4 linked regions of the Mytilus edulis genome follow. The protein of the gene in region 1 interacts with the protein of each later gene in a pairwise test. Links are inferred from orthologs where the notes say so. Each region holds a gene or a part of one and is shown in the gene's direction. Other genes may lie near its edges.

The links.
Region 2: the proteins of huntingtin-like (region 1) and protein tumorous imaginal discs, mitochondrial-like interact in binary tests that used the Homo sapiens proteins (3 or more experiments, as listed by UniProt). The link is inferred for Mytilus edulis from reciprocal best matches to the Homo sapiens genes HTT and DNAJA3.
Region 3: the proteins of huntingtin-like (region 1) and mediator of RNA polymerase II transcription subunit 31-B-like interact in binary tests that used the Homo sapiens proteins (3 or more experiments, as listed by UniProt). The link is inferred for Mytilus edulis from reciprocal best matches to the Homo sapiens genes HTT and MED31.
Region 4: the proteins of huntingtin-like (region 1) and huntingtin-interacting protein K-like interact in binary tests that used the Homo sapiens proteins (3 or more experiments, as listed by UniProt). The link is inferred for Mytilus edulis from reciprocal best matches to the Homo sapiens genes HTT and HYPK.

Annotation. Positions count from the first base shown.
Region 1 is NC_092347.1:34,305,526-34,313,874, reverse strand, and holds the start of huntingtin-like, read left to right. Parts: upstream 1-4,512; 5' UTR 4,513-4,674; intron 4,675-8,349. Other genes in the region: peptide-N(4)-(N-acetyl-beta-glucosaminyl)asparagine amidase-like, read left to right, coding at 279-451.
Region 2 is NC_092351.1:74,632,965-74,641,180, reverse strand, and holds the start of protein tumorous imaginal discs, mitochondrial-like, read left to right. Parts: upstream 1-4,472; 5' UTR 4,473-4,497; coding exon 4,498-4,654; intron 4,655-6,783; coding exon 6,784-6,926; intron 6,927-7,665; coding exon 7,666-7,749; intron 7,750-8,192; coding exon 8,193-8,216. Other genes in the region: coronin-7-like, read right to left, coding at 433-532, 1,925-1,987. UniProt on the Homo sapiens protein: Modulates apoptotic signal transduction or effector structures within the mitochondrial matrix. Affect cytochrome C release from the mitochondria and caspase 3 activation, but not caspase 8 activation.
Region 3 is NC_092349.1:27,276,662-27,285,082, forward strand, and holds mediator of RNA polymerase II transcription subunit 31-B-like, read left to right. Parts: upstream 1-4,799; 5' UTR 4,800-4,869; coding exon 4,870-4,903; intron 4,904-5,801; coding exon 5,802-5,876; intron 5,877-6,581; coding exon 6,582-6,678; intron 6,679-7,341; coding exon 7,342-7,537; 3' UTR 7,538-7,803; downstream 7,804-8,421. Other genes in the region: integrator complex subunit 2-like, read right to left, coding at 1-5, 400-530, 1,108-1,221, 2,354-2,456, 3,313-3,451, 4,422-4,708. UniProt on the Homo sapiens protein: Component of the Mediator complex, a coactivator involved in the regulated transcription of nearly all RNA polymerase II-dependent genes.
Region 4 is NC_092354.1:40,489,065-40,497,919, forward strand, and holds the start of huntingtin-interacting protein K-like, read left to right. Parts: upstream 1-5,407; 5' UTR 5,408-5,503; coding exon 5,504-5,656; intron 5,657-8,476; coding exon 8,477-8,584; intron 8,585-8,855. UniProt on the Homo sapiens protein: Component of several N-terminal acetyltransferase complexes. Inhibits the N-terminal acetylation activity of the N-terminal acetyltransferase NAA10-NAA15 complex (also called the NatA complex).

The DNA of each region.
Region 1 (8,349 bases):
TTTCTTATAGGGTTAGAATCAGTAAAACATATTTATTACAAACAAAATGACTCAGAAATTAACAACTATAGGTCAGAGTACAGCCTTAAACAATGAGCAAAACCCATACTGTATTGTCAGCTATAAAAGGCTCCAAAATGACAATTGTAAAACATATCAAACAAGAAAACTTGCAGCCTTTTTATGTACAAATTAAATAAATTGATAAGCAATTTAGTTTTCCATTTGAATTTTGTTTAAATGGATTTTTTTTTATAGTTCTTAATATTCTTTTTCAGGAAGTAACGAGTTTCAGACAGTACATGACCTTGAAGGAGAAGATGGTATGACAATCACAGCTGATCTGAGTGGAGGGAAGGGAGATAATGCATGGCAACATACCCAGTTATTCAGACAGTCTAATACTGATTTGGAATTCTGTCCTTTTGAAGTCAAAGTACATTTTGCATAAGTGTTTTGTTATGAATAGTATTATTGTTTTTCAAAGTTTTTTGAAGTTGTTGCATGGGAGATATTGAAAAAAAAAAATCAAATTTGGTAGTTTTCTTTCAATTTTTCTTTAAACATAAATTCATAGATCTAACATAGTTAAACTGGAATTGCTGATTTGAAATTTATGAAAGTATTATCATGTGCAATAAGAAGACAATATATAATAAGCTAACATTTTGGCATCTTCAATTTATTTCAAAGTGCTGCTTAATTTTGTGATCCTTCAGATAATCATTGTGCAATGATATTGAAGTTCAGAATGGTTCATTTTTTGCCTGTGAATGGTTATATATGTAAAAAGTTATTTATAAATATGGTCATTATTTATTAGAATTATATTTTCAAAATGTTTACTTTTACAAATTTTTCCTAATATGAAAGTGATATTTATACTACAGAAGCTTGAAAATCTTATGATTGATGTTTATAATCATGTTTTTTTCAATAGAAAAAGATTGCTTGATATCATAAATGTTATATTTGTAATACTGATTCATGACTTTAATAGTTTTAAGGGGGCCATTGAATTTGAGGCCATGGGAAGGGATCTGTCAATTTTTAAGATATAATACTTACACATTTTAATTTAAGATTTAATTTAATATAAATGTTATTGGGATTTTTAGTTTCAAAACTTACTCAGACATTCAATTTTCATTTTATTTTTGGGGAACATAATCAGACAATTATCCTGTAGTGGGAAAACCCCTCTTAATGTGAGGGTGAATGTACACATACAATTTTTAGATGTTATATAATTATCATTATTCCACATTCCTGTTTATTTTGAAGTTTTTTCTTACTGAAAAGGAAGCTTTAAAAGGAGCATTGGAAGAACAATCATTGTGATGTAATTCTGGTCAACGTTTTTACTTTTTTGTACTTTTTCTATTATTGAATTAGTCTTTCATCTGACAATGTGTATTTATATGTGTTTGACCCAAAAAAAGCTATATATGAGATTGTCTGTATAAATACCTTTATAATTTAATGTACATTGGAAAGCTATCATAGCTTCATCTTAAATTTGTTGAAATTAATGTGTATGAATGATTGAAATTGAGAAATGAATCCTCTGATGAATTCATAAATTTGTATAATTTTCTTACAATTGAAGGGAAAAGACTTTTTTCTATGATTTAAACAAATTTTGATTTTATACAGCTGAATTATAAAGTTTAAAGCATTTTCAAGGGCATGCTATCTTTCTTATTTTTCATGAAAAAACTTCAAATTTACTACTGAACTTTGTCTAAAGCTGCCTTCTTAAAGATATATAAATAAGTGTAAGGCTGTATTAAGGTATGTTTTTTTGATTATTATTAAATAATGATTATTATAGTGTTATTGTAATACTAAAAAATCTGTGTTATTGTTAATGATCAAATTGTTTTTTTTTTCTGCATTTGACAACATAATAAATGAAAGATCATAGCTAATATTTGTCTTCATTTCTATACATGCACCTCACAGCGCTATTCAGTGACGTGAGAGTCATATAATTATAACAGCTGCAAGTTTTTGGTTTAATCCTTTGTATGGTAATTTATTTTTCATCTCTACAATTTTAACACAATATAAAAAAAAGATGTGGTATGATTTCCAAAGAGACAACTCTTCACAAGAGACCAAATGACACAGAAGCTCACTACACTGTCCACTTGTTAGCTCAAATTTTACATGGAACAAAGTTGTGAACAAATGGAGAGTTTAAATGATGTGCTGTTTGTAATAGGTCATTCTAACAATTTGACCTGCTGCTCAATACTGACAGGGGCGGATCCAGCCATTTAAAAAAAAAGGGGGGGGGGTCCCAACCCAGGATAAAGGGGGGTTCCAACTATATGTCCCCATTCAAATGCATTGATCGGCCAAAAAAAAAGGGGGGGGGTTCCAACCCCTGGAACCCCCCCTCTGGATCCGCCACTGACTGAACACTTGATTCTGTGGACCTAGAAATTTATTCTTGCAATATTCTTGTTCCCACAGCAGATCTTAATCTTGAGAAAGTAGATATCATATACCCTGTAAGCAATCATATTCAGTTGAGACTTTAAATAGGCACATACAATGTTCTTAAAAATAACTTTTTATGCAAGATTGCTGGAATGTGTATGAAGGGTGATGCCCAGTAATAAATATGAATGAATGGGCTTAACTTCAATGAAACAGCAACACAACACAAAAAACAACACAAAATGTTCTGGTCTTACAAGATAAATTGGTGTCAATACACTCTAAATCCACCCCAAGGTAAATACAGATTAGGAATAACAGATGCTATCAAACTGTTTCCAACATCTTATTCTCTAAAATGAAAAACACACTTTATGATGTGAAAAAAATACTGCTAACAAGGTTCCTCACTTTTGAAAGGCTCATTATAATGCCATAAAAATATGTAGCTTATCTTGCCCAAGAGGTCAAGCGAGCTATTGCCATCAATTGTAGTAATTTAAAAAAAAAAATCCCCTCTTAAAATACTGGGCCAAACATTACTTTAGCCCTAGGATTACAATGTTCTATAATAGAGTGACATGGGCACAGCCATTTTGGAAGAACAACACATAGAGATAAAATAAGCTACATGTGATTAGTAATTATATCATTTGCATATCTTTCTTCATGAAAGCATTATGAGAAAAGCTTCATGCAAGCACAACATTATCTTCAGAAGTATATTATTAAACCTTGCTGTGAAGGAGGTTGTACACTGTTTTTCCCCTTTCTGTATGTCTGCCCATCCCTCCCATGAATATCTGTTACAGATTTCTCATGATCTACAGATTAGAGCATCCTGAAATTTGCTATCAGGCTTCATATGAACATGTCAATGTGACCTACCGAATAAGACTATTTACCGGATTTGTAATAACATAAGCAACACGACGGGTGCTACATGTGGAGCAGGATCTGCTTACCCTTCCGGAGCACCTGTTTTTGGTTGGGTTCATGGTGCTTAGTCTTTAGTTTTCTATGTTGTGTCTGTTTGTCTTTTTATTTTCAGCCATGGCGTTGTCAGGTTATTTTCTATCTATGAGTTTGACTCTCCCTCTGAAATCTTTCGTCCATCTTTTATGCTATATGATGCAGTGTCTGTTTACACAACAATTTTATATTTAAGATTTTCAACCTGTATTGTTTTGTTGTTGCTAAAACTTAAAAAAAAGAAAGAAACTGTAATTGGCAAAAATGTTCAGCACTTTGCATCAGTCAATATTGCCAAAATTGTCAACCTATTCCTCATACTAGGAATGACAATTTCTTCTGAGGCTTTGGTTTGATATTTCAACCCTCCCTTATTAAATGAAGTCTTGATCAATGGACCAGCAAAAGATACATAAAACTAACCAATAACAATTGAGTGCAGGAAAACCAAATATCTGAAAATAAAATACAGGTAAAAAAATAACACAGAAAATATTTAACAATGTTATACATATCAAAGACATTGAAAATGCCTTGCAGCAATGCCACACACAGTACAGGAATACAAGATCTTTTTCTTTTGAAAAAAACAAACAATAAAATTTTAAAGCAGATTAACCAATACAGACACAATATGAATCTGCAAATTGATGTTCATGGATTCCAAACAAATATCTGAATCATTGAACAACAACTTATTTATAACCTCTATCAAAAAGTCTGTCTTGTCAAAGAGAGTTTAGAAGGACACTTTCTCTACTTGTGTAAGCTTAATAGACAATATATCGGGGAATTTTGATGTAAAAAAATCTATCAAATTCCTGCTTGGTTAAAGCATACTTCAACTATCAATAAATTTGATAAGATTAAGTGAAATTTTTTCAATGAAAATAATCTGTTTATTAAAATCTGAGTAAGTGACATTTGTTAACTAGCAATGATGCTTTTGTAAATGCCATCATGTATAAAATAATACTTGGTAGTATTCTTTCTAAACCATTTCGGTAAGGATAAAATGCTTGTGGCGAACTTAAATCGGGGACGAAACCACATTCAGGACGAACTGAATTTTGGGTCGAAAATACATAGATTAGTGACCGTAAAATTAAACTTCCGGTCTAAGATATTGATCAACCTGACCACTTACTGAAAGAAAAACATAGTGAAAGCTACAATGACAGCAGTTGTTCCTACATTTTCGATAGCCCCAGCCTTTTATCTGACGTTTTGGTGATCCACGTCCGAACAAGAAAGGTTAAATTTTACCCATTTCTTGTCAAGATCAGTAATCATACCAGCCTTATGACCATGATAAATTATTTCACGCACACGGACATATTATATTTTTCCCCAATTGTCGAAACCAAAATGCCATCGTTTGCTCGATTTAACATTGCCAGATGAACCATCATCACTGGATTCTAATTTGCATTGGCAGCAACAGGTGTTGCAAGTGGATAGCCTGAGTTTATCCATACGACCATAGGCATAGCCATGACGAATGCTAGTCAATTCGTTCCAAGTCCGATTCGTTCCAAACCAGTTCGTTCCAGATTTGGACAATTCGTACCAAGTCAATTGTCAATTCGTACCAACTAATTTATTTTATTATTAATCAGACTTAACAATATGTTCCAACTTTTTTATAGTGTGTATGTCCGTAAATCACTGTATTTGTGTAAATCAACCCACTGCACGGCAAAAATCGTCAATTTTTTTTATGTATATTTCATATAATAGATCGTTTTTCAATCAGTCTTAACAATTTGTTCCAACTTTCTTACACTGTCCGTATATCACTGTCTTTGTGTAAATCAACCTATAGTTCACGGCAAAAATCATCAATTTCTTGTCAATTTTTATGTATCATATTTAATATTTTCATATTAAAAGATCGTTTTTCAGTAATATCTATGGCTTCTTTTTTGCATGTGCGATATGAAATTTCATGATGCGTTTATGGTTCGATTTTAACAAATATTTATGTTGAATTACGCAGATTTATATGTACAATATTTGTTTATTTAGACATAGATTTTTTGGGTTGTCTTTGTTTTTTTCTCCTTTTCTTGTCAACTTTTATCATATTTCGGTATAATCTGAATGTCTTTTCCAATAAAAAAAAATAAGTTTAAGGTTTACATGTTTATTTGATATCATGTCATTGACACATATACTAATAACAAAATATAACAATAACAGTTCAAGTTCATGGATAATTGATCAATAGTCTAAATGACTTGTAGTATTTCAGAAAGTTCATTCTACTGTTCAACGGACGGCACTACGATAAGTGCAACGGATGTCATCAGCTGGGTTACTGTAAGCTGCTGGCTTCTGTAACTGTCCCACAGCTCCATCAGCTTAGACTGTGATCTCTCTGTGGCTGCTCTTTGGTAGCGCGTGAGTTTATGCTCCGACACTAATTGGATCTGCATGGGTAGGTACCTGGCTTCATCACTCAGAACTTTCAGCATCACATACAAGTGAAGGCTGGCACCCTTGGCCTTGCGGTTTAGTCTGTTGTGCCAGCCTTCGACGTCGTTGTTAGTGCGAATGGGTTGGCCAAAAACAGTCCAAGCACTGATGGGGAAGATGGTGCTACCTATCCATTGAAATACAATAATCAATTATAATAATAACGAATTCTTTGAAAATAACACTAGTTAGTACTTTATTCATTTTTAAAATATTAGATTGTCATGAAATACTTAATAATTAATATTTATCAATATATCATACCCAATATACCTTTCTTCCTAATTAATAAATCATAGATTTTTATTAAAACTAAGTATTTATTTACATTATATATATATAAGTACAGCATTATAAATTAAAATAATAAGGCTATGCAAATGGTTAATATTGTTTAATACTGTTGGAACGAACTGACAAGTTTTGGAAAAAGTTGGAACGAATTGTCCAAGCAACTTGGGACAAATTTGTTGGGACGAATCGGAGTTGGAACGAATCATCCAGATACCGCCATGACATAGGCACTTGTTTTCTAGTCCAATTAATTATGATGTCTTGAAAGGTTATTAGATATTTTTTCTTTGACGCGTTACGTCAAAGCAACATTTTTAAAAAGCCTTCCAAGACGTCATAATTATTTTGACTAAGGCACTTGTCTCTGATAAAAAAATTATTTCATTCCACGGTTGTCGTCTACTTCTGCCGGATAATGACCACAATCAACTAACTGAATTTTTTGTACATACAGGCCCCACCCCCTCCCCCCATTTTATTTTAATTTAGTTCAGCTTTGTCACTGAGGCTTTAAAAGCCTTGACTGACGGTGCTGATACAACCCCAGGAGGTAGAGAGTTCCAATCTTGAGGGGATAGGAGGGGTCCTGATCCCGAAATCCCAGACTTAAAAAAACGAAATCCTGAGGTCCCGAATTTAAATAAAGTAAATCCCGAAATCCCAAAAAGGGTCAATCCCGAAATCCCGAGCTTAAAAACACCCAATCCTGGAGTCCCGATAAAGGTCCTATCCCCCCTCAATCTTTGATGTTTAGCGGAAAGAATATTTCCATTAATCACTTGTAGCTGATGGAATTTTGAAGCTTCTGTCATGCATATTTCTTGACAATCATTTAGGTTGCATCAGAAGATCTTCCTTTGTCTCTGCAACTTTTTCATTTACAATTTTGAAGAGCATGGCGAGTCTTGCATCTTTTTGCCTTTTTTCGAGGAATCTCAAATCAAGATAATTAATAATCTTGCTTACACTTGAGTGATTAAGATGTTTGTTCATCACATATAATTTGGGCTGGACCATCTCTAGTCAGTCAATCTCAGTTTTATTGTATGGATCCCATACTGGACTGGCTGTCGAGACTGTGATTGGTCTTGCTAGTGTTTTATAGGCATTTTTCTTTACAGAATTAGATCTGATATTCAAGTTTCATTTTAGGAAGCAGCTTGTTCTTTTGGCTTTGTTGCAGACCTTATTTACATTCCATTTCAGTTGAGATGTGAATGTGCAGCCTAGGTATTTGGCACTTTTGACAGGTTCTAAAGTGTGACAATGTAGTTTGTAGGATGTTGTAATGGTATTGTTTTTCCGGCTGATGATAAAGTACATTGCACTTGTCTGGGTGGAAGGCCATTTTCTATTTGGTTGCCCATGTAGCTAGTTTATCAAGATCTGTTTGTAGGTTGTTCAAATCTTTGTAGTTTGATATTGTCAGGTATGCTATGGTGTTATCTGCATGATGGATTTAATATCATCAGTCATTTTGTTGATGTAGAACAGGAATAGGGAGGGCCAAAGGACTGAGCTTTGGGATACCCAAAATTCTACATCAATATGTGATGAGCTCTCTCCATCCACTACTACTGCTTGTGTCGGATGTGACAGGAAGCTAGCAATCCACCTATTGACCTTTCCTCTGATTCTAGAGCACTCAAACTTGTTATATATATGTCATAAATCTACAAAATTGAGTAAAACACACCAATATTTCTGTTGTCAGAACCATATGTAAATTCCTACTAATAAAGTAAAAAGTAAATTATTTCATATTCTCACAGAGAACACTTGTTAGCTAGCCTTATCAACCTTCTTGCTACCTGTAGTTTTATATGTTTGCATACATGTACAAGAATCCGGAAATTTTTTCACCTAATTTCGGTCATTTTCGGATAACTTAAAATTTGGTGCCCTTTTTCAAACAAAGATTGCGTGTATGCTCATACAGTCCTACTCGTAGCATCAACGAACTTGTTTAACTGTTGCATCGCATTTACTTCAGAAATTTCCCTACCATTTTGCTTAAAATCGATCTTGAGCAATAAAAGGAAGGCAACAGTTTAAAAATGAAATGATTTTAATGACTCAAAACGATAAATTTCTCAAACTTCGCTTACGTTTCTTTCCATTTGAAGACAAAATTATAACCGGATGTTTTACGACAAT
Region 2 (8,216 bases), on another chromosome or scaffold:
TATATTGACAGCTAGCTTTGATGTGGTTGCCACATGAGTTTGGTAATCATACCTGAAGTATCTACATTAAAGGCCATATATTGACAGCTAGCTTTGATGTGGTTGCCACAAGAGTTTGGTAAACTTACCTGAAGTATCTACATTAAAGGCCATATATTGACAGCTAGCTTTGATGTGGTTGCCACAAGAGTTTGGTAAACTTACCTGAAGTATCTACATTAAAGGCCATATATTGACAGCTAGCTTTGATGTGGTTGCCACATGAGTTTGGTGAACTTACCTGAAGTATCTACATTAAAGGCCATATATTGACAGCTAGCTTTGATGTGGTTGCCACAAGAGTTTGGTAAACTTGCCTGAAGTATCTACATTAAAGGCCATATATTGACAGCTAGCTTTGATGTGGTTGCCACAAGAGTTTGGTAAACATACCTGAAGTATCTACATTAAAGGCCATATATTGACAGCTAGCTTTGATGTGGTTGCCACATGAGTTTGGTAAATTTCCAGCAGATATGTCTCCAATCCATTCCTATTGAAAAATCAAGCACTTTAGACATGTTAGATATTGCAATTTGCAGATAAATTATAAATTCAGATATTATAGAATGCAATTATTCAAAGTGATGGTTGTAAAACACAAAAACCTAAGATTAAACTTATTGCTATTTCCTGCCACTACTGCTTAGACATAATGATGTCAGATTCTGCTTTTTGAGGAACATATTTGATTACATTTTTTTAAATTGATAATCATAAAAAAAGCACCAGATTCTGCTTTTTGAGGAACATATTTGATTACATTTTTTTAAATTGATAATCATAAAAAAAGCACAACAAACAGTATTGAAATTTATAATATTCAACCAGCTATAATAACGACTGTATAGTCTTTTCAGCCTTAAGGGAAATGATATTCTTCACATTGCAGGCCTGGCTCTTTAATGTCTTATTTGATTCATTCATGAATTTTTAAATTAACTTTGCTTCCTATACATTCGTATTGATACCGGGTAAACAAATAACACACAAAAAAATTATGATTTATTAAACTGTTTTATTTGAGTTCTTGTTGTGAAATAACTCAGATTTTAGTATGTGTAAGATTGAACTGTAATATTTATACGTTTTGTGATGTTGCATGGAATTTTACACTTTTTTCAGAAAGTAAAATTTGTTATATGTCTTCCCGTACGAAAAAAATCCAGGCGTATTTTACACGGATTCCAGACAGATTTTTTTAGAGGGAATCCTTTAAAGTAACCTTTTACACAAAGAATCTTTCTTACATGGATTCCAGGCGGGTTCAGGGTGGAATAGAGCTGAAATATGCAAATTTATCCACCTGTCTTAGGGGGAAAAAAATCCGCCTTGTTAAAAGGAAAAAAATTTCTAAAAAATATATCCGCCTAAAGAGACGGAAAATATGTCCGCCTAAAGAAACGGAAAATATATCTGCCTTTAGATTTAATACCATGATTCATATTCTGTCATATTTATTTTGTTTTGTTTGCGTCATAAAAGAAATATTTAAATAATGTGAATTTTGAGGCCCCTCATGGGGGGGTCCTAGTAATCACATAATCACCATTTTTTTGCCAATATAATCACATAATCATTAAATATTTGCTTATCTTTAGTAATCAAATAATCATAAACTAAAAATACAGTCCTAGGTAATCAAATAATCATGAAATATTTGGCTTAATAATCAAATAATCATTAAAAAAACGGCCAAGTAATCACATAATCAAAAACCCCATGAGGGCCCTCAATTTTGACTCGCTTGAAGCTTGAAAGCCGACTAAGTGACCTTTTCTAAAAAAATTATGATTTTGGAAATGAAATACCTTTTAGCAAATTATTAGTTTGTTTGGTTTATTTTTTCTTTCTTAGTGTGACTTAATACTGTATTATAGATTACCTCTCTTTTAAGAAGTTTTGGTGCTGAATTCTTGTACTTCGATGCCTTAAACCTCCAAGCCATTACTGCTTCCTACAATGAATATAAAACTTAATCATTACTTGTTGTCAACTTTAAAAAAAAACACAAAAATATCGTCAAAAGGACTACAACAGTAGTTTTAAGAATACTTTTAAAAGGCTAATTGAATCTGGAATGATTTGGATATTTTATCTGACATGATACTTTTTTTTTTATCAATATTCAAGAATTCAAAATTATTCGAGATTGAAATAATTCCTTGTTTGTGGTATAATGGCCAATGAGACAACTATCCACCAGAATTCGAAAAAAGCTCATATAAGGAATCATTGGCGACCATTTAGCCTTCAACAATGAGAAGATCCATATATTGTATAGACTAGTCACCTATAAAAGACCTCAATGGCATATGAAAGATAAGAAACAATTCAAACAAGAAATTATCAGTCTAATATATGACAAAGTGTGTACAGTTTTGCTGGTTTGTTGAAAACAGGACACCCTATAATAATATGGGCATGTACACTATTCTGACTCTGTCACAGTCTGTGCAATAACACATAAACTTTATGCCGAGTTTTTAGGAGAGAAGCAGCACATACCAATTCTAAAGTCTTTGACCTGGGTTCAAACCCCAAATACCAGTGCCAGTGCCCCTCCCCCTCCCATTTATGAACATTTCTAGATCCGCAAGGCGCCACTATAACCCTTCTCTATCCACCATTACTTGACTTCATAAAGGTTCACATCAAATTTTGATGTCATTATACAAAATATGTGACGCTTCAATGGAAAATTGATAGCTCTATGACATCAATAGTTAAAGCAGGACAGAGTCTCAGGTCAGCAGAGGCAGAATTCCAGATAGCAATAAGTATAGGCAGTGTCTGCGCGTACCCGCATACGGGTACGAATAGTCAAATTGCCGTTCTATGCTGCGCGTACCCACATCCGGTTTTATAATAAATATATATATATAGGTAAGTGAACAGTTTTTTCTCAGTTAGCAAATATTCATAAAATTGAAAAGTGATATTATAACTGTGGGGAAGACTTTAATTTATAATTTTGTTCATTTTAACCTGAATATGAATACCTAAAATATTTTATTATATTTCAGGTGCAACAGTAAGAGTAGTAAAAGATGAATCTGGTGTTTTGAATGAAATATTTTTCCAGGATAAACCATTTGCAAAATTTCTTTGATAAATATCCTGAAGTCTTACTTATTGACGCAACTTATAAATTGAACATGTTGAATGACTTACGACTGCCTCTTTTTATTCTTATGTGCGTTGACAGGAAAACAGTTTCTGTTTTACATTTTACTGAAAGATTATTTTAAAATAGCATATGGGTATATTTAAATTATTAAAATTTTATTCTTTAAATTTTCTGTGATTTAAATTTTATAACAGTATTAATTTCTTTCATGTTTTTCTTTTAAAGGGACTGTACAGCACAGGCACTAGACGTTCTGTCAATAGTATAAAAATATTGGCAATTGGAAGAAAATAGTGTCCATATGGACACTATTTTCTTCCAATTGTGTCCATATATATAATATATTTTTATACTATTGACAGAACGTCTAGTGCCTGTGTGTACAGTTTCATTTTCCATCATTGTGCATTTAATTTTGCAATGTTTATTATCATTATTTAATTAATACAATTTGAAAATAATATTTTTCATACTCTTCACTCGTTCTACACGAAATCCCCATATTATCGATAATTTTTGTATATATTTCACGTTTCATTCCCGATCTGATGGCATTTTAATAGAAAACCGGATGTGGGTATGCGCAGCCTAGAACGGCAATTTGACTATTCGTATCCGCATGCGGGTACGCGCAGACACTGTCATAAGTATAATCAATAAGGTGTTTTATGAGAATGAGTCATGGCTCATGCACAGTTGTTCATTCAGATATATTTCAGTACCCAAGATATCTCTTGAATGAGTATAATTTGAATTTAAAATAAATATCCCTGCATTGACATTAACTGTTTGCTGGTGTCTCTTTATGATCTGTTTATTGGGCAAAAGTATAAGCAGATAAGGGGCGGATCTTGGAACAACATGATCAAGGACATGTACATTGACAACAGATTTATATGAAGAAAATAAGCTTGCTTATTCTCTTCACATTTTTAAATATGTTCGGAAAGCTTGATTTCAAATCTGTAAGTAATTACTGTTAGGTTCTCCCTTTAAAACTGTTTTTCAATAGACTTTGTCGTCTGTTATGAATTTTACAGGAAATCAGTTTATCAGGTTTGAAGTTTCCGGCTTTTGAAGTATCGCGGGGATTTCCGAGATTAATTGAGAACCGTCTGGGATAAAGAGCAGACGATTTTTCAATTTTTAAGTCGAATTAACCAGACTAAAAATTCAATTTTACTACCTAAATGAATATCAAACATTGCAAAACGAATTATTTTATATAATTTCGCTGTTTACTTCTATGATCCCAAATCTATAGAATTACATAATTTGTGTTTCGGTATTGACTTTTTATAAACCTCTTGATTTTCAGCAGACGGAAAATGGCTGCTCTAAGGGGAGCATGCTGTCGGCTTGGAAATAAGAAACTAAATGCAACAGTGGTTGTTTCAGGGAAGTCTCCCTTCCCTGACGATACATTTCATCACATCGAAAGGCGTTGTTCCTCATCTCTAATTTTGAAATCAACTTCCAAAACAAGTAAATCTTTAAATATGCACTAAACATTCTGCATGACCGACAAGGTCGAAACGTCCCTGCTTAGAACTTAATTGCGTCATATGTATTCAGGGTCTATTTACTCAATGATTGAAGTTTTCTATAGAAATGATCGAAGAAATCCATAAGTAAAGCCATCTGACATGTAGTGTTGACATGTTTTGTTCCTTTATTTATGTAAAAGATCCTAGAGGTACTAAAACAAAAACCACAAGGGCTTGTTTTTAGTGCTGTTGTCTGACCGACTAAACAAGACCCTGTGAAGATATCAAATGGGCATGCAAACTCATAAATCAAAAACAAACTGACAATAAAAAAAACCGACAGTACTGAAAGAATAAAAAAATCCATAAGAAGAGCAAAACAATTCTGACCAACATTATTATGGGGGTAGGTGTAGTAAGCAGATCCTGTTCCACATGTGGCACCTGTCCTCTTGCTTGTGTAAATGCTAAGCACTTTTGTTTGAAAGGTCACATTTGTGGAAAAGAGGCCAGGACTGTTGTTAACCACAAGCAGAATATAATAAAAAATGTTTAAATGTTTGAAAACTAATCAACCTATTATCTGAGATGGCTTGGTAAAATGTAAAGATATAAACTCTTAAACTAACCTGGTTTTAAAGTCATCCATACTCTACATGACTTGGCACCATTGCGCACTGGAAACAATTATAAAATTTGTATGAAGATAGTCATTCAAAATATTCTGTCTGGTCAACATTGAGGCCGAGAAAAAAAAATCGATGTTTCCGGTAACCCGACCGACCCTGTTTTATAGCCCTGACCCTAACTTTTTTATTGGATCTTCAAAAAAAAAAAAAAAAAAAATTGTATCAACCGACCCCATTTTTGACACAGGCTTCTGATAGATGACATAAGGCCGAGAAAAAAAAGATCGATGTTTCCGGTAACCCGACCGACCCTGTTTTTTAGCCCCGACCCTAACTTTTTTATTGGATCTTCAAAAAAAAAAAAAAAATTGTATCAACCGACCCCGTTTTTGACACAGGCTTCTGATAGATGACATAATGTTTTTTCTCTCTTGCTTCTACTTGCATAGAAAGCCAGTAAAACATTTTATTAATGTCAAAAGGTATTCCAAATAGGTTAAAATCCCAGAAATTTGCACAGCAGGTGCTTCAAAAACATTGCAAATGGCACACTTCCGGTTTTTGAAACTAATTACGGATCCGGACTTGGAAAAACCATGATAATTTTCCGGATTTCATTTACGATGTCAAAAAAAAAAAAAAAAAAAGAATTCCGACCTACCGACCCTATTTTTCAAAATGATGTTACCGGAAACACATATCTTTTTTTTTTAGGCCTAATATTTTTTCTCTCTTGCTTCTACTTGCATAGAAAGCCAGTAAAACATTTTATTAATGTCAAAAGGTATTCCAAATAGGTTAAAATCCAAGAAATTTGGACAGCAGGTGCTTCAAAAACATTGCAAATGGCACACTTCCGGTTTTTGAAACTAATTTCGGATCCGGACTTGGAAAAACCATGATAATTTTCCGGATTTCATTTACGATGTCAAAAAAAAAAAAAAGAATTCCGACCTACCGACCCTATTTTTCAAAATGATGTTACAGGAAACACATATCTTTTTTTTTTAGACCTGATAGGAGTGTATTATGGTTCCTGTGTTAAGAAAGTACTGAGGTGTCAAAGCAATAAATATCTATAAGAGAGCCGTGGTGTAGTGGTTAGTGCATCAGACTATTAACACAAAGGTTCCTGCTTCGATTCCCGTTCCGGGATGAAAATTTCAAGTAGTGAATTATCGGTTCTCCCTTGACACCATTTGCAAGTATGGTCTTGAGGAAATGATGATGGTCCGTTGGAAGGGGACGATAAATGACTGACGTGTGTTAAGAGAGCCATATCTAGATATCTCTTATAGCTTGCAAGTAAATGACATCCTTGTAGATTTTGAAAAAGAGCAGGCTAATTAATGCGGCTGGGCAGCACTCGCGTCTCCAAAGTGGAAAGGGATAAATATAAGATGCAATAACAAATGAATAACTTGTTTCCCAATCTACTATAAATAAATATGTTTAAACTAATAAATATCTATATATATATATCTTACTGTAATTTCAGATTTATTGTCTGTTGCTCACAAAACCTGTTGTTTACATAGAAAAATTCACAGAAGTTCACCAAACAACAAAAAAGACTATTACGAACTTTTAGGGGTTCCAAAAAATGCAGATGCTAAGGCTATTAAAAAAGCTTACTATGAGGCAAGTATAACATGTATAATAAAGTAACTGACTGGATAGCCTTAATATTATCGGTGGTGATTGGTATTAGGCCAAACAAAAAAGTATGTGTGTTTACTGTCACATGCTGGAAAAAAAACAAGGGTAGGTATTTTTTTTTTTTTTACATTGAGTCTTTGGGAGCAACATTGTGACTTTATCAGTGTTTAATCACAAATGGCAAAAAAAACTTAAAGATAAGGGATACAAATTAGGGTAGGAAGGGGTACAGTAAACACACATACTTTTTTTTTGCCTTATTTTCAGGGGTCACACATTTCTACTTTGATACTTACATAGTGCAATGAAATAGTCGGCTAATTGATCATAATTTTGTTATCAAATGATAGAAATCAACCTCATGCATGTGTACATTTACAAAACTTTGATTGATTTACACGATTTAGGAACATATGTATAAAAATAAATGATGAGCATGATGAATGTTCATGATGTTGGTCTGTTGTTTAGGGTTTTTACATAACTCACTTTTTATTTTATGAAATCGTGAAAATAACATATTTGTTTTTTTTATCACACCTTATGTGAATCTACCTACTTTCCAGCTATACTTCTAAAGAGATCCTGATTAGGGATAACTGCACAGAGTTACTAACATTGCTAACCAAGATGATATATTTTTTCAAACATTGAAAAAAGTGAATTTTGTCATACTAGTCAATATTAATCTATTCTAATATCTGTATTTCTTTTATTTTAGCTTGCCAAAAAACACCACCCTGATGTGAGCAAGAATGATGCTGGATCTGCTAAAAAATTCCAGGAAGTGTCAGAAGCCTATGAAGTAAGGACTGTGCAAGGAAAAGATAGTTTTATAAACACGATAAACCTCTAAATGAGATATAATACATTTATAAATTCCATCAATACAAACTGACAGTCACAGTATAGTGTTTAAAGTGGCATTAAACACAAATCAATCTATATCCGTGTTGTAGTATGATTGCCAAAGAGGCTACTTGACACCAATTTTTGTGGATTTGGTGGGTATAGGTAAATTGCAAATTGAGATGTTATGCGAAAACAAATTTTTAAAAGGTTAATCTTCAGTAATTTGCAAAACAGTGAAATCAAATATCCACAAAATACAATTTCCCTCAATGCACAAAAATTGGTACTCATGAAACATAAATGAATCAACAGCATGAACAGTAGAGAATTTTTTTTCTAACAGCAATTATCAACTCTTGTATGACATGAGTTAAAATTATTTTTTCCCGTTTAAAGGTTTTGAGTGATAGCACAAAAAGA
Region 3 (8,421 bases), on another chromosome or scaffold:
TCAACCTGAATTAAAAAAATATCACTGAGCTTCAGTAAGAGGTTATCTCAAAATGTGAACTGAGATTTAGTAGGAGGTTATCTCAAAATGTAAAGAAAGCTTTAGTAAGAGGTTATCTCAAAATGTATTCAGAGCTTTAGTAGAAGGTTATCTCAAAATATGAACAGAGCTTAATTAAGGGGTTATCTCAAAATATATCTAGATAATCTCTATCCAACATGTCCTTTTTGTCAACAGTAAAAAAAAAATCTATTTTTTATGATTTTGCTTGACACAATTTTCATGCTTCATGGTCAACTGTTTAAATCATCAATATGTAAGCAATTTTTACAGTAGACCTTATACAAGATACAATCAAACACTCAATATATCCTTAGTATAGACAGACAGATAACCTACACAAAGAGCCCTTATGTTTAACATTTCTCCAGGATTCATGGTACACAGATTCAACAAGACTTCCATTCTCCTTCTTCCACTCATTGATTCTTCGTCTTGTGTTTCTCCATTGGCCACCAGACTGGTACATACTACAAGAAAGGAATGGTAGAAATTGCTAATCGCACAAATGTCAATTAATGTTAAAAGATGTTTTAATTTTATTTGTTAACCACATTTTTGTATTTCTAAGTGTTATAATATACACTTAATTCTAAACATCATTTAATATTGATTGTCGTTTGAAACTCAGTGCTGTTCATATAGTGAATCTAAAAATATTTTCTTAGCTAAGAATTTTTTTTATCTAAAATTAGTTCTATGCTTTCAAAATCAATCTTTAAATAAATGAATAATTACAACAGTAAATGCATAAGACTTCTCCAACTCAAATTAAATCAAATGACTTGCGTCGGAAAGAATTTGATCTTATGCAAATGAATATCAATTCATCTGTTTACATATTTCAGGTTGAAAAAGTTTCTATGCAAATTATTATATCTGTAAAGGTTTAAAAATTGATTTGATATAAGAACCCCACAAAACAAACATTAATTCTATCTTTTATTTCATATTTCAATTTTCCAAAATCAATAAAAGTTTCATACAGGTACATGTTTACATGCAATTGCATAAGGTAGATTTCTGCCTGAGCAGCTTCAAATGTACCTTCTTTAAAGCTGTCTGGAGAGTTAGCCACCAGACGACACAACAACCAGCCTCCATTTGGTAAGTGTAACAATGTCTCAGCTACGTCTTTTATTTGAAGTAATGTAGGAAGCTCTACAAATATACAAAAAATTATTCTCTATTATCATTCTTATTTTGGTATTTGCAGTTCTTCAACAAGCAATGTACCTGCATTTGCTAAAAACAAGATATAAATCTATACTTCACTTGGAGTTGGATATTTTTGTGATTTTACTTTTTGTTACTTTTTTTTTTACATTTCATCTCATTATTTCTAATATGTAACACTTCTGTACTCGTACTCTGAAAAACAATTTATTACTGCTTACAACTATTCTATGTTTCATTTAATGTCATTTTGTCCCAGGTAAGGGTTGACTTATTGACATCTTCTTTATTACTAACTGTAAAGTCTGTGTTATACAGGGACCTATGTTTTAATATTGTATTTTTATTGTGTGAGGGTGTGTCAAAGATCAAACTAATTTGTTCAGTAAAATTGAGAATGGAAATGGTGAATGTGCCGAAGAGACAACAACCCGACCAGAGGGGAAACAACAGCTGAAGGTCACCAACAGGTCTTCAATGCAACCAGAAATTCTCGCACCCGGAGGCTTCCTTCAGCTGGCCCCTAAACAAATATATACTGGTTCAGTTCAGTGTATGCTTACTTGTTTTTGTTTAAATGTCTTTTTGATCAATTAAAGTCATTTCAATTGAATATTTTATAGCGTCCTTTTATGTTGTAATGTTACAAAATTGTCTCAGACAAGGGTGAAGGTTGGCACCAGTTTAAACATTTAAACATATTGCATTTTCAAGCACCTGTTTTTAGTCAGGAGTCTGTTGTTCAGTGGTTGTTGTGTGCCGTTGTGTTTCAAAGGTGTTTCTCCTTTCTCTTTTTAATATAAATCATAGTTGGTTTTCCTGTTTAAATTGTTTTACACTGGTCATTTTGGGGCCCTTAAATCTAAAATTTGCTGTTCAGAGTGAGCTAAGGTTCTGTATTTAAGGCTGTACTAAGACCTTAAATTGTACTTTTTAAACATTATGTCTTGGAAGGAGAGTTGTCTCATTTGCACTCATACCACATCTTCTTATCTCTATTACATAGATATAAAAAGAATTGGTATGAGTGCCAATAAGACAACTCTCCTTCCAAGTCACAATTTATAAAAGTAAGCCATAAGGTCAAAGTATGGTTTACAACGTTAATGTATATTACCTGCTTGTGCTATACACAATACATCAGATACTTCTTCAAGGTAAACAATGCTCTCCAGTAATTCTGATGACTTGAAATAAAATTCTGCCTTGTTTTCTTTCATCTGAAGCAATATAATATTGACATTGTAATAAAAGTATAATTTTTTTCATTATAAACGCTGGTTGCCAAACACAATAACATAGATCATGTAGATCTACTCTCATCATCATTTTTGAAGCAGAAACTAAACAAATCTGGTTTATATAGAAACTGCATTGTATTTCTTTATAAAACATAATTTAATTTTGGATGTAACGTGTCTTCTGATTGGCTGACGTTATTTTGTTATCAGCCCATAGACATAATTTAGTCATGTGATTGTGACGTCATCAACGTTTTTTCATGGTTTTCTACAGTTTAAAATGGAATTTAGAATTAAATTATAAGAAATGACTGTAATATTTTTTCTGTCTATTCGAAATAACCTAAAAAATGTGGTGCACACTGTTAAATAACCTGCTACGCGCGTTATTCAGTGTGTACCACATTTTTTATGTTATTTCTTCATAGACAGAAAAAATATTACAGTCATTCCTTAAATGTTAAAAATTGACAGTCTTCAACCCTCACTCAACAGTATATACTGGTATACTGCATATTCTTTATTATTCATTAAATACCATTTTTTGTGGATTTCGTGGGTACAGTTGAACTATGAAATTAAATTTTGTAAGAATGATAAATGTTCTTTATGCTTGTATGCAGACTTCGACAATACCATGAATTTTTAAAAACATCCACAAGTTTTCGTTAATGCATGAAAATTGATACCTCCCTCTGATTCTCATACATAATGTTGTTACTTAATTAAAACTTTTGATGTCTTTAATGAAGTTGAATATTCACAATAGAATAACATTGAAAATTCAATGTTGATTGTTTAACATGCTCAATTTACAAATGATAAGATAATTAACCTGTGATGCTACAAAGAGAAGTTCACTTAATAGCAGACGAATTCTACGAGCATGGTCACTTCTTTCAAACTCCATAGCAAGCCCACACTGTAACTGAGATATCAGGACACTGTCAGTCTGTGATGTACCAATCTTTGTCCTGCAAGGAATAAGGTAAAAAATTTAAGATTATTATCAAGGAAAAAAACAAATATGTCATCACTTCTGAAGGTATGGAGAGTTAATCTGGAAAACAATTTGCTCATCAATACTTACATGTACAATAACTCTTTTATCATGTTTATTGTGGGGACAAAAACTCCAATTGCAGCAGGAAAATCAATAATAAAAAAACATCAATGTACCTATGAACTCAAAATCATGAACTTTTTATTTTCCCGCATTTGTGCAGAAATGTCTTTCTTTCTTCTGGTCTCAATATTGTCATGAGACTGAATAAAATATACATGTATGTTAATTCATTTATTGTTATTGAGGAACATGAGGAAGGAGCAGAATAACAATTTTGTTTTTATTAATTCTTTGTATACAATGAAAATGAAGTCATAACTTAAATGATGCACAACTAAAATCCCTAACAGGGTTCTCGCTAAGGATTTTTGAAGGCGAGTCCAGGGACTCGTCATTTTTGGCCATGGTGAGTCCAACAGCAAGAAGAATATATTTTATTGCAATATAATGTAATATTTTATCCTCCATGGCCTAACAGAGCAATGAAATGACATTAAATTCAGATTACTTTTAAAACTTTTGCTATAAAATGATGATCATGATGATATTTGTGTTTTACTGTGTTCAATTTATACAAAATATTTCAATATTGATGCATCTTTGGACTCACTAGTTTTGAGAATGGTGAGTCCAAACAGATTTTGATGAGTCTAGGACTCATGGACTCGCTTTAGCGAGAACCCTGCCTAACAACAGGACCAACATAGGAAACTGTAAGATATTTTCGTTTCTTTTTGAACAGATTTTTAAATATGTTTGAAATAAAAAAAAATGATTAACTTTATCCTCTTTCACGGGTAATGCCTGCCTCATATTATTGCAACGTGATTGTAGCCAGTGCCTTACTCAGTAACTCACTACTGTTTTTAGGGGTGTACCTGAGCTGTTGTTCTTTTTTAACGTCTTGTTCTAAAGCATGGAAATCAATAGATAGCAATGCCACAATGCCATTCACAACTTCTATCCCAGATAAGATTTTTAAGACTTCTTTTTTAGCTTTTGTCCAGTTGGAGCTCTCATCAAGTGGTTTACACAAAGCCATTCTAACAAGACATGGAAGAACTGGACGCAAATCAAATTCCTTCGAATCACTCAGTGAAGAGATGTCAACATCTCGTACTGCTCTGAAGATTTCGGGTTTAACACTACACTTTAGATTCTGCATTGTTATTGCTAAACCTAAAAAAATGTAAAGGATTTACAAAAATTTTAAAAGTCAAAATTTTTTCATGGGGGCAGCCATTTTGCTTTCTCAACGTCAGTCTGACGCTTTGTTGTAATTGCGTTTCTTACAAGCGCGAAGAAGACATAGATCATATTTTTGTTATGGCTGCAGCTGCAAGACAGAATTCCTCCCATGGTAAAATAAGTGCTAATGTTGCTCTAGATAACAACAGACCCCAAAATAAATAGTTCCCCTCTAACCTTATAGTTCTGTCATGCATATTGTTGTTCATAAATACTTATCAATGCCAGAACAATATGAAAAGCAGTTTGAAGTGGATACAAAGCTTTTCACAACTCAAACAGCAAAAATACATTAATTCATTCAATAAATATATTTTATGACCCTGCCATAAGGTGGCTAAGGCTGTATAGTTCTACCCTTATCTGCCATTTGGTCATTCTACTACAAACAGTTATACACATACATGGGTCCAGCCTTTCTCCTAAACACCAAATAATTGGTCAGATCATATGTTATTGTATTCATATATGAGGGTGGTAATGGGGATACCTTCATGACGAATAACGATAAAATTCTAGCCAAATTTAAACGTAAAAGGTAATTTTAGATGCATGACGATATTAAAATGTATACTTTCTTTTAGGGGATAAAAAAATCGACTGATTTTGACGAATCACGTTAAATTTTTCTCAAAAATGACGGTAAGGATAATCATTTGACACCATTGACGAATCACGGTTCACCATAAGGATATTTTGACGATTCACTGTAAAATTTTAACCAATTTGACGCTAACGGTAGCTGGAATTGAACATTTGACGCCTGATGGTAAAGGCCATTACTACCCTTATATGTAGTTTTTCTTACAAGGAGAGACAAGATGGAATAGAACGTAAATTATAGCAAGATCAGCTGAGCAAGATGTTTCCAGAAAGAAATTTTTTTATAAATGGGGTCATGAGGATTGACATGATTGAATTTACAAAGAATGGAAATCATCTTTTGGGGAAAACACTGAATATCATTAAGAATGCTGTATCTTTTAAATAAAAAATAATTTCTTTTTCAGAAGCAGATGAAAGAGTGAGATTTCAGACAGAGTTAGAATTTGTACAATGTTTGGCTAATCCGAATTACCTTAATTGTGAGTATACAATGACAGTAAAAAACCAATTCTAATTGAGAATGTGTCTTTGGGACAGATGATGCCCCATACTTGCATATAACATTGTAAAGTGACATACATCCACAACTGTTAAAGTGACAACACCTATATTCTTAAGTTAGAGAACGGAAACAAACTTAGGTATGTATCGATGAGCAAGGGCAACACTGAATGTCAAATGTAAAACCTTTTTAGGTTGGATGACATCTACTGTTAATATTAATTTGTAACTGTTAATATTCTATGTTAGATGCTCAGTCATTTGCAACAAAACTGCCCAGATGACAATAATTAGATATCTCAAAAGTTTATTTTTAACATGAAGATATATTTTTTTATATTACATGAAGGAATACACACTGACGATTTGCCACTGATTTAAATACATGTAATACAAGCTTGGCTACAATTTGAAAAAAGTTTGTTTGCATAGCAAAAGAACTTTTGTCCTGCAATGTACGTGCCACCAAAACTGGCAAAGACCCCTTAAAGAGTCATGAGAGTTGTTACAAGAATTCTTTAATTTTCAGTTATTATTTTCTCTCCCAATATGAGCCATGTAATTTTTTTATCATTGATTTATTAAGATTGCAATTGCATATTTTATCCTTGTTATGTGTTGTGTGAACAGTTTTAAGTTAACAGAGCTGTAAAAATATACTGTTCAATTTTATTTTTTTATAGTTTTAGCACAGAGAGGATTCTTCAAAGATCAGACATTTATCAACTACCTTAAATACCTGCAATACTGGAAAGAACCTAAATATGCTAAATACCTCAAGTAAGTTTGTACAAAAATGTACAATAGTGAATTTTTGTAGGAATCTTGTTATACTGTAGATTCATTTATTTTTGTGTATTCCAATTTTTGTGGATTTTTATGTGTTCCAATTTTTGTGGATTTTTTTATGTGTTCCAATTTTTGTGGATTAAGAAAATCTTGCATTTTCGTGGCTATTTGATATCGTGATTTTGCCAATACAATGTACATCCTTATACATGTTATAGAAAATCTGTAATTCTTTGAACATTTATACTTGTGGTTTATCTGTACCCACGAAATCTTCAAAAATTAGTACCCCACAAAAAAACAATATATCCACAGTAGTAGATATTTTACGAAAAAAAAAATAATTATAAATTCAACAGAAAAAAATTGTTCTCATTATGACCTGACATTTACTTGCTCAATGCAGGATATGAATGAGATTTTCATTTCCAGAAGTTGACAGATATGCCTTGTACAGTACACACAAGGAGTTGCAAATTCTTTATGACGTTATGTTAAATGTTCATGTTACAAGTTGACAAATAAACACTGTATGAGTTATGATACACCAAGCAATATCTGCTTTAAAGATTAAGACTTTCCCATTGTATAACTAGTTTGTAATTATCTCTTGCAATATTTAATTTGTTTTCATTATTTTTATTTCATTTTCAGATATCCCCAATGTTTACATTTATTGGAGCTGCTACAATATGAACACTTTAGAAAAGAATTAGTGAATTCACAATGTGCTAAGTTTATAGACGATCAGCAACTCTTACATTGGCAGCATTATCAGAGGAAACGCATGAAGTTATTGATCGATGAAGCGGAACGACACAAACAAGATCAAAAAGATAAAACTAGCTGACACAGCAATAATAAATGTGTTGATTTAAAATTAATCGGTCAGAGATATTCTCTGAATTGTAATGGCAGCTATGTGGATGGTCAAAATTATTGTCATCTCTTAAACATCCAAAACGAACATTTTTATGTGTAAAATTTTTCCGAGGTTGATACTTGTCATAGACGTAACATGTACATGATGTATTTAGCAGGAAATTTTTTCATCTCTGTTCATAGTTTTTAGGCAGTTTTATAAACTGTATAAAATAAAGAGATGTTGTATAGAGATATTGTATTTTCATTGAACAGAAGTTTCTTTTTGATATCTGTTCCAAACATTTCCCAAATAGGGCCTAAATTTATATATTGTTTGTTTCCCCAATCCCAATCCTCCGCAGCCAGATATGGGTAGGTACATGTAGGTAGCGAAATAATTTTAATTTTCCAAACAGTTTGAACATTATCGGACGATCAGGTAAGCCTGAAAATCAGAAATGAATAAAATAATATTGGACTTAGATTTGACAATACAATTTTATATGTAGCACCACATTTTCAGGGTCAGTCGGGATTGGGGAAACAAACAATATTTTATTTTTAGAAGAAATATTAAATCTAATGTGAACAGATGATATAGCTTTATTTATCATGTTTATAACCAAGTTTCCATACAAATATTTGGCAGGCACAATATTTACTCATTGTTGAAGGTAGTACAGTGACCTATAGTTGTTAATGTCTGTGTCATTTTGGTCTCTTGTGGACAGTTGTCTCATTGGCAATCATACCACATCTTCTTTTTTATAGAACAAATATATGTTAACAGTATGACTGCCAATAAGTCACCTATCAAGAAGTGTAAAAAAGATGTTGGAAACTAGCTGTGTTGGTCACTGTTCCACCTTC
Region 4 (8,855 bases), on another chromosome or scaffold:
CCTTAAACCACACAAAGCTACTAGTCCAGACTCAATTCCATCATTCATCCTGAAAACAGCAGCAGACCAACTCGCTCCTTTTCTTTACAGATCTGTACCAAACATCCCTTAGCACCGGAGAAGTCCAACAAGATTGGAGAGACGCTAACGTGGTACCTCTATTCAAGAAAGATGAAAGACATTTAGCTTCCAACTATAGACCAGTATCATTAACCTCCATCACATCTAAGGTCTTGGAACACATAGTCCACAGCAGTATTATGGACCATTTTGACAAATACAAGATACTTACCAACGCATTGCATGGATTCCGCAAAAAACGATATTGCGAATCGCAACTTATAATAACAATCAATGACATTGCTAAAAAACTGGAAGAAGGATCCCAAGTCGACATCATCCTTCTTGACTTTGCAAAGGCATTCGACAAAGTACCACACCACCGCCTTTTACATAAGCTAGAATTTTATGGAGTAAACCCTAAAGCTAGAAAATGGATTTAATCATTCCTTGAAAACAGAATGCAGAGTGTAATATTAGAAGGAGCTGTCTCTTCTCAAGTTCCGGTACTTTCAGGCGTCCCCCAAGGCGCAGTTATTGGACCGCTATCATAGTGTCATGATTGTTTCTGACCTACATAAATAACATGCCAGAAACATCAACATCATCTGAAACAAAACTATTTGCAGACGATAGCCTACTCTTTAGAACAGTAAACAACCAGGCAGACAGCGACCTTTTACAAAAAGACTTAACATCATTGGAAGAATGGGATAATAAATGGCAAATTTATGAGTTTTAACGCCAAAAAATGCATAGTTATAAGAATAGCTCAGAAGAACAAAGAAGTGAGAGATACATCATATAAAATCCACGGACATACACTAGACAATGTTGATGCAAGCAAATAGCTAGGCGTAACAATCAGCAACAACCTATCTTGGGATAGACACATTGCCAGTCAGTATTGTAGGCAAAGGAAATAAAACATTGGGATTTATCCGAAGAAATCTAAAAGACTGCACAAAGATTTATAAAATGATTGAATTTTTCATTATTCAAATATTTGACTTACCTATTAAATGAACTAGATTGTCACGGCCTTAATTGATCTTAATGACTCCGGGCTTACAAATACGAAATCCCAAGGTCTCGAATTTGAATAAATTTAAAATCCCGTCAGTAAAAAAAAATATTTCCGAATCACGAAAGGGTCAATCCCGAGCTTAAACACCCTTCTTCTTCTTTTGGTTTCTAGCGATCCTTCAATTATTGAAGATTATTCGCCGGGCGTCGACTATAAGATTTATAATTTACACTAATTTAGCAACAAAAAATCAAAAATAACAAAATCAAAAAATCAACATAACGTATGTACATTTGAAAAAATAAGTTGTGATAAAACTATATACATTTGATAACAGAATAGTTAGGGATAGAATATGGGGATTAGAGCAGATTCTGAGATCATACTCTTGAATCCCTCTACCGTACTGCATGATACTATTTGTTGTGGCAGATGATTCCAATTTATAACTGTTCGTGGATAAAATGAATATTTATAACTGTCTTTAGATGTTTGTATTTGCCTAAATGAGTGTGGATTGCTATGTCTGGTTCTATTGTCAAGTGGGATCAAAAGATTATGTGTAGGAACTGCAACAATTTCATGAATAATTTTGTAAAAGAAAACAAGTCTGTATCGTAAACGCCTAATTTCGAGTGGGTACCAATTTAGGTCTGTCATCATTTCAGTAACTGAGCTGGTGTTATGGAAGCGGTTGCATGAGAAGCGTGCTGCTCTTCTCTGAACTTTTTCAATTTGTAAATTTTGTTGTTTTTGATGTGGGTCCCAAATTGTTGAGCAGTACTCTAATTTTGGTCGGACAAGAGCTTTATATGCATGAGCTTTAACTTTCGGTGATGCTATTTTTAGGTTTCTACGAATAAATCCAAGGGACTGGTTTGCTTTTGATGTCATGTTATCTATATGTTTGTCCCATTTTAAGTTTGATTGAAGAGTTAGGCCTAAATATTTTGTAGAGTCAACTTTTTCTAAAGAGTGATTGTGTAATTTATAGGTAAAGTCTAAAGGTTTGCGTTTCTGAGTTACACTGAGAATGTTGCACTTGTCAGGGTGGAAATGCATGAGCCAGTCCTGCTCCCACCTGCCGGCCGCTTCTAAGTCAGACTGTAATTTAAGTGTGTCATCTGGTTTTTTAATTTCCCTATAAATAATGCTGTCATCTGCAAACAATCTTAATGTACTGTGTTCAATATATTCTGCCAAATCATTGATGAAGATTAAAAATAAAATTGGACCAAGCACTGTGCCTTGGGGTACCCCAGATGTTACAGGAATTTTATTTGGTGTTTCACCTTCAAGGACTACTGTTTGTGTTCTGTTTGTTAAGAAATCTTGAATCCAATAATATGCATTACAATTTATACCATAGAAACCAATTTTATACATGAGGTGGTGGTGTGAAACTTTATCAAATGCTTTTGCAAAATCCATTATTATGATGTCTATTTGGATGTTTTTATTATTTGAATTTGCAAGATCTTGAATAAATGATATTAGCTGAGTTTCACAGGAGCGGGAGGATCGAAAACCATGTTGTAAGTCATATAGTATTTTATTTTTTTCCAGATGTTTCATAATGCTACTAGCTACAACATGTTCTAATAGTTTGCAGCAGATGCAAGTCAATGATATTGGACGATAGTTTATAGGATCGTGTTTGTCACCTTTTTTGAATGCTGGACATACACTTGCGTGACGCCAGTCATCTGGGATCTTTCCAGAGTTCAGTGATGTTTGAAATATGATTGATAAGATGGGAGAGATAGATGATTTACACTCTTTTAAAATTTTACCATGGATGAGATCAGGCCCAGCAGCTTTGTTGATGTTGATATTATTTAGGAGTTTTTCAATGCCTTGTTTTTGTATCTTAATATCAGGCATCTGCGGATGTTTACTGACGCCCTTGTCTGGTATTGGGTCATCTGTTACAGGTGTAAATGCTTTTTTGAACTGTTCATTTAAAATATTAGCTTTTGCTTTTGAGTCAGATGTTAGTGAGCCCTCTTTTCGGAGTGGTGGTATGTTAGAGCTTTCAGACTTTTGTGTTTTTATGTAACTGAACAGATTTTTTGGGAAACTCTTTGATATAGTAGTAGGGTTTTCATCAACTGGTATCCCACATATCATATTTTCAATATAATTCCAATAAGATGTTCTTTGTTGTTTTTGTATATCATGTTTTAATTTTTTAAGTTGGTCTAGTTTCCCTTTGCCTTTTAATTTGTACTTTTGATACTTTTTCTTGTACTTTTTCATTTGCCGTCTAATACTGTCTGTTATCCAAGGTAAATTTTTACTATTTCTCATCATTTTCTGTGGTATGTTCTCAGTGATAGTGTTTTGTAATGAGTTTTTGAATATTAACCAAAGTGTGTTTGTATCTTCACTATCTTTTTTATGTATGATCTTTTGATATATGCCGTCTATATCCTCTTTTATTTTTTGCCAGTTAGCATTTTTATATTTATATACTTTTCGTGGCTTGGTTTGGCATCTTTTTAGTGATAGTAAACATTCTAAATATACAATATCATGGTCTGCCTCACCTAGTGGTGGTATGGTTTCAGTTTTTTCAATGATGGCTGGATAATTTGTTAACACAAGATCTAAAATTTTATCATTTCGAGTTGGTATGTTTACAACTTGTGCTAATGAATGGTCATTTATCATATCTAAAAATTGTTGATGTTGTTTTTGGTTTGGTTTTCCAGGGATGACACTTGTTGTTTCCCAATTGATGTTTCCTAAATTAAAGTCCCCACCAATAATTATGGCTGACTTTGAGTTTACATTTATTCTACTTATGGATTCATTTAGTAAATCTAAAGATGTATCATCATCTGGCTGGGGTCGATAATAAGCACATATATAACATTTACGTGCATTTGATATCGATAATTCTACCCATATCATTTCACATCCTGTGTCTAGTTCTTTGATTTCTGTACATAAATAATTATTTGATATAGCTATGAGTACACCTCCATGACATTGTCCTTTTTTATTTGGTGGTCTATCTTTTCTAAATACTGTGTAATGATCTTTTGGAAAATATTCATAAGATGATGTTTTTGAGTCTAACCAGGTTTCAGTACCAATTATAATATCAGGCTGTGTGGTATCAATCAAAATATCTACTTCTGGTTTTTTGTTCTTAATAGACTGGAAGTTAATATTTACTATTTTTAAAGGTCTGAGTAACTTATTTTGGGTATTTATACCTTTTTTGTTTTGTTTTCTGATGTCCTTTTGTGATATTGGTGATGAACAAGCATGTGGCTGTCCAGGACTACCAATATCGCTTAACAATGAAAAAGAATTGTTTGTGACTGATGATGATATATCAGTTTGGTTGAAAAATGAACTACTAAAGTTTGGGAGTCCACATTTAATACAGTTCCAGGACAGGTTACTGTTGTCCATTATGTTATACATTGTTGTTTGCATACCTCCTTGGCAGTCTACATGGTACCAAGTCTTACAAGAGTCGCACTCTAGAGCTTTACATTTCCAAGTGACATTTTTTCCACATGAACCGCATGGCCAGCGTGGCATTCTAGGGCCTGGGTTGAGTTCAATTTGGCCACTTAACAGAATTTTTAGCAACAAGTGGTGGTTTTTCAAAGTTGAATGTAATGCTTTATTGCAGCAGTGTATTTTTCTTGAGTGGTATAGCCAGAAATACATGGATACAAATTTGTTCTCTGTAATGTTGATTTTTGGAACAAATAACAAAGCATTATGATCTTCAATGTCTTTTGGGTAAGATTTGATAAATGGTGAACTACCTGTAGTTTTGCCATTTTCTAATGACACAAACTTATGATCTACTTCATGACACACACAATAAATTGTTATCAGTGTGAGTACTGTACTAAATAACGACATTTTTATTGGTAAAATGTTTATAACTGTTTATTAATATGATGTGCTCGAACATAGAAGGTGAGACATAAATTTGAATATAAGCGTTAGTAAATAATGATTTGTTATACTGGACTCGTGTTGCTACCCACGAGGACAATGAACTTGACAAATGAGCAATATTAGTACATGAAAAGTAAAGCAGAACTAAAGCAAGTTAGTATGCGATTTGTTAATGTTTACCTTTTTATTTTCCGGAAGTGGTGTACGATCCAAGAGTCCCGATAAAGGTCGTATCTACACCTCAGAAGTGATTATATCGTTCACAGAAAACAGAAATAAGTTAAGCTTGATACAAAAACATTCGAAAATATCAAGGAAAATAAATAAAATAAATTTCTAATTCTGTCCGTTTTTAGACAGTATTTTAATTCGGTATTCAGATATTTTCTGCAGAGTTATCGTTCTTACAAAACAACACACGTGAAAATACCAAAAGAAAATCACAAATTATTTTTGCACTGAGAGGATTGATTTCCAGTTAAAAACATGACAACTGAAGAAGAACAAGTAGAGGAGCCTGATCAAGAAGATGACAGTAAGAAGGACAAATCAAAGAAACACGATTCAGGGGCGGCAGATTTAGAAAAAGTCACTGATTTTGTCGAGGAAACGGAAATCTCTGCACAAAGCATTGGTGATGTAAGTGGGTGCATTCTTTAAACAAATGGCAGAACCGAATTTCAAAACTGAAAAAAGTATTGTGACAACGTTGAGTTGAATTACCCCCCCCCCCCCCCCCCCCCCCCCCCCCTAATTCATATAAGATTCATATGCAGTGAACACCCCCGACTCGGCGACTATCCAGTCAACACTGAGGTTGTGAGTTCGAAACCAAGGGTATCGGGATCGTTCGCCCTGATTACATGTTCGCCCTGGTAATCCGTTCGCCCTGAGTTCGTTCGCCCTATTCTCATTAATGATATGTAAATGTTACATTAATAAAAGAAATGTATATTTATATATATAAAAATTTATGTTTATCTATTAATAACAGGGGCATAGCTTACGTTGAGGCAACCGAGGCAACTGCCTCAGTAAAAAAAAAAGAAAATTTTTTTTTTCCTTCACTGTATTTTCTTTTAAATGATCATTGCAGCAAACTGGCTACTAAACAATAATGTAGCAACTTGATATGTCTTGTTGGCGCGGTTATTGATTCATACCCTTTACGAATTATTAAAGACTTATGGGAACATTTGAATTAATTTTCCCTCCTCTACTTGGAAATACCCTTTACGGTAGTTTTCTGTAATTAAAGTTTGTCAGAGTAAAAGGAAATCGACAACAGATTTATTTTGTCCTACCCCATTGCAAGCGAAAACAGTGAGTAGAATAGATGAGGATGCAACTCACGAGTCTCCTGATTAAATCACTTTACTATTGAATTAGGTCAATTAGTTAATTTTGTGTCAGAATAATTTCTAGTACATTGTATATATGAGGGCCTGGGTGAGGTTTTATCGGCTCTGAAATTAATTTAAATTTGAAAGAATATGGATTTAAAATGGTGCTAAATTATAAAATAAAGGAAAATCAAATTATGGGCGACAATGATTAAAAACTAAATATTTGATAATCACATTCTAAGCATTCAAACCCTCATTTATAAGTGTTGACATGTTCCCCTACGACTATGTCCATTGACTTTGGTACTAAACAAAACAAAATATGCATTTACATTTATACATTATAGTGCACAGAAAATAATTTATAAGACATGTGGTTCACAAGTTTTATTCTCGCTATTTTAAATTCATAGTACGTTTTCACAAGCAGGGAATTTAAAATATTTAAAGGAATCACTAATTCCAGAGAAATATGTCTGTTAGTTAATACATAATGTCAGTTTATATATAAAAAAAATCAACCAAATACTGTTCATTTACAATGAAGACTTCAGAATACAGTAAATGTTAGTTATTCGCCGGTTGTCATGTTCATCGTGAATGAAAAAAAAAGTTAATAATCATTCAATATGTAATTTCAAGACCTTCGAAGGAATACACCACTAAAACAAGTGCCTTGCTACACTTTACATGTAGCATATGTTTTTCTCCTTGTTTATCCTGAAATTTGTAGACTGACTTGAACATATTCAATTAAATACACACAACACAACACTATAATAAAAAATATAAATCAGGGCGAACATACCCAGGGCGAACAGGTATCAGGGCGAACGGTCTCAGGGCGAAACGGAACTAGGGCGAACAGTTACTAGGGCGAACAAAAATCAGGGCGGACGGACCCGGATTCGAAACCAAGCTCATGCTGGTGCACTTGACTCAAATGTTAATTTACATGGGTAGTCAGTTTCACTTTCCAAGTCCGTGGTTTTCACTGGGCACCTGGCTTCATCCGTTAATAAAAAACTGGCTGAACATTGAATCATATAAATATGTGCAACTACAAGTCCACAAAAGGGGGGGATTCTTTCTATATGAATCCGGGTCTGTTCGCGCCCAATCACGTTCGCACCCTTCCACATTCACACCCATTCACTTTCGCACCCCACATGTTCGCACCTAAATTTTGCGGAAAAGTTCGTTCGCACCCCACATGTTTGCACCTAATTTTACCGATTTTTTGGAGGTGTATTGGTATAAATATATATGCCATGTTTTTAAATAATTCGAGATTCTGACAAGTTTTTTTGTGTCATGACAAGTTTATAAAAAAAAAGTCCTTGCTTTAAGTCGGATTATGTTTCGGGGGCGAAAATGTGAGTTGCGAACGTGTAGGGTGCGAAACTATATTGGGCGCGAACGGACCTGATACCTTTCTATATGGAGGTATATAAATAATTAGTGATAACTGAGGAATAAATGAGTGGTTTATCATGCTTATGATTTTGCCATGTGTTTATGGGTCTGGATTTCGCAAGATTACAATATATGAATCATGGACTAAACTTAACTGATTTCCTCTAGGGGCCAGCTGGACCCTTAATTTTTTTTATTTTCAGGGGCCCATTTGAAATTTTTATCATAATAAAAGAAGGGGGATAGGACCTTTATCGGGACTACAGGATCGGGTGTTTTTAAGCTCTGAATTTCAGGATTGACCCTTTCGTGATTCGGGAATTTTTTTTTTCGAATTTCGGAATGTTGGGATTCAAATTTATTTAAATTTAGGACCTTGGTATTTTGGGTTTTTAAGCCCGGGATTTCGGGATCAGGACCCCTCCTACCCTCCTCATAAAATAAAACTATATTTTCATAAACTAAGACCAACTCAAAATAATTGGTAGATTTTCATACAGATTATTGAACTATATTGGGTGGGTGGAAGGATTTTAATTTTAGTCCCCTAACGACTGAATAATGAATACTTGACTAGTTCATGTAGTTGTTGAATAAAAAAAACTTTTGTTAAGGTTGAAGATATTGTGCTGAAATTGCAACCCTAATGAAATAAGATTATATTAATAAGCTCATATTTATTTATTTTTTATTTCAGGCTATGAACAAATTAACAGAGAAAAAGACCAAAGAAAGAGCAGAATTCATTGCAAGAGAGAAAGAATTGTCAAAGATAAAAATAAGTAAAGAGGATGTGGATCTAATTGTAAGTAAAACTTAAGTTCTGAAAGGACACAGAACACTTAAGGGAGTAAACTCTTTAAATAAATAAAAATTGTAAATACATATAAACGTGCCATACAGATAAACACACATATGTCAATAGACATATATTACATATATTAACCACTAAAACGATATTATTAGTTACAAAGTGTGTTAGTGACCTAATACTATATATACATGGTCAGTAAATTCCATATGGGGTTCGAGCTTCGTATTGAATTTACTGATGCCGTATTTATTGTATTTTGTCA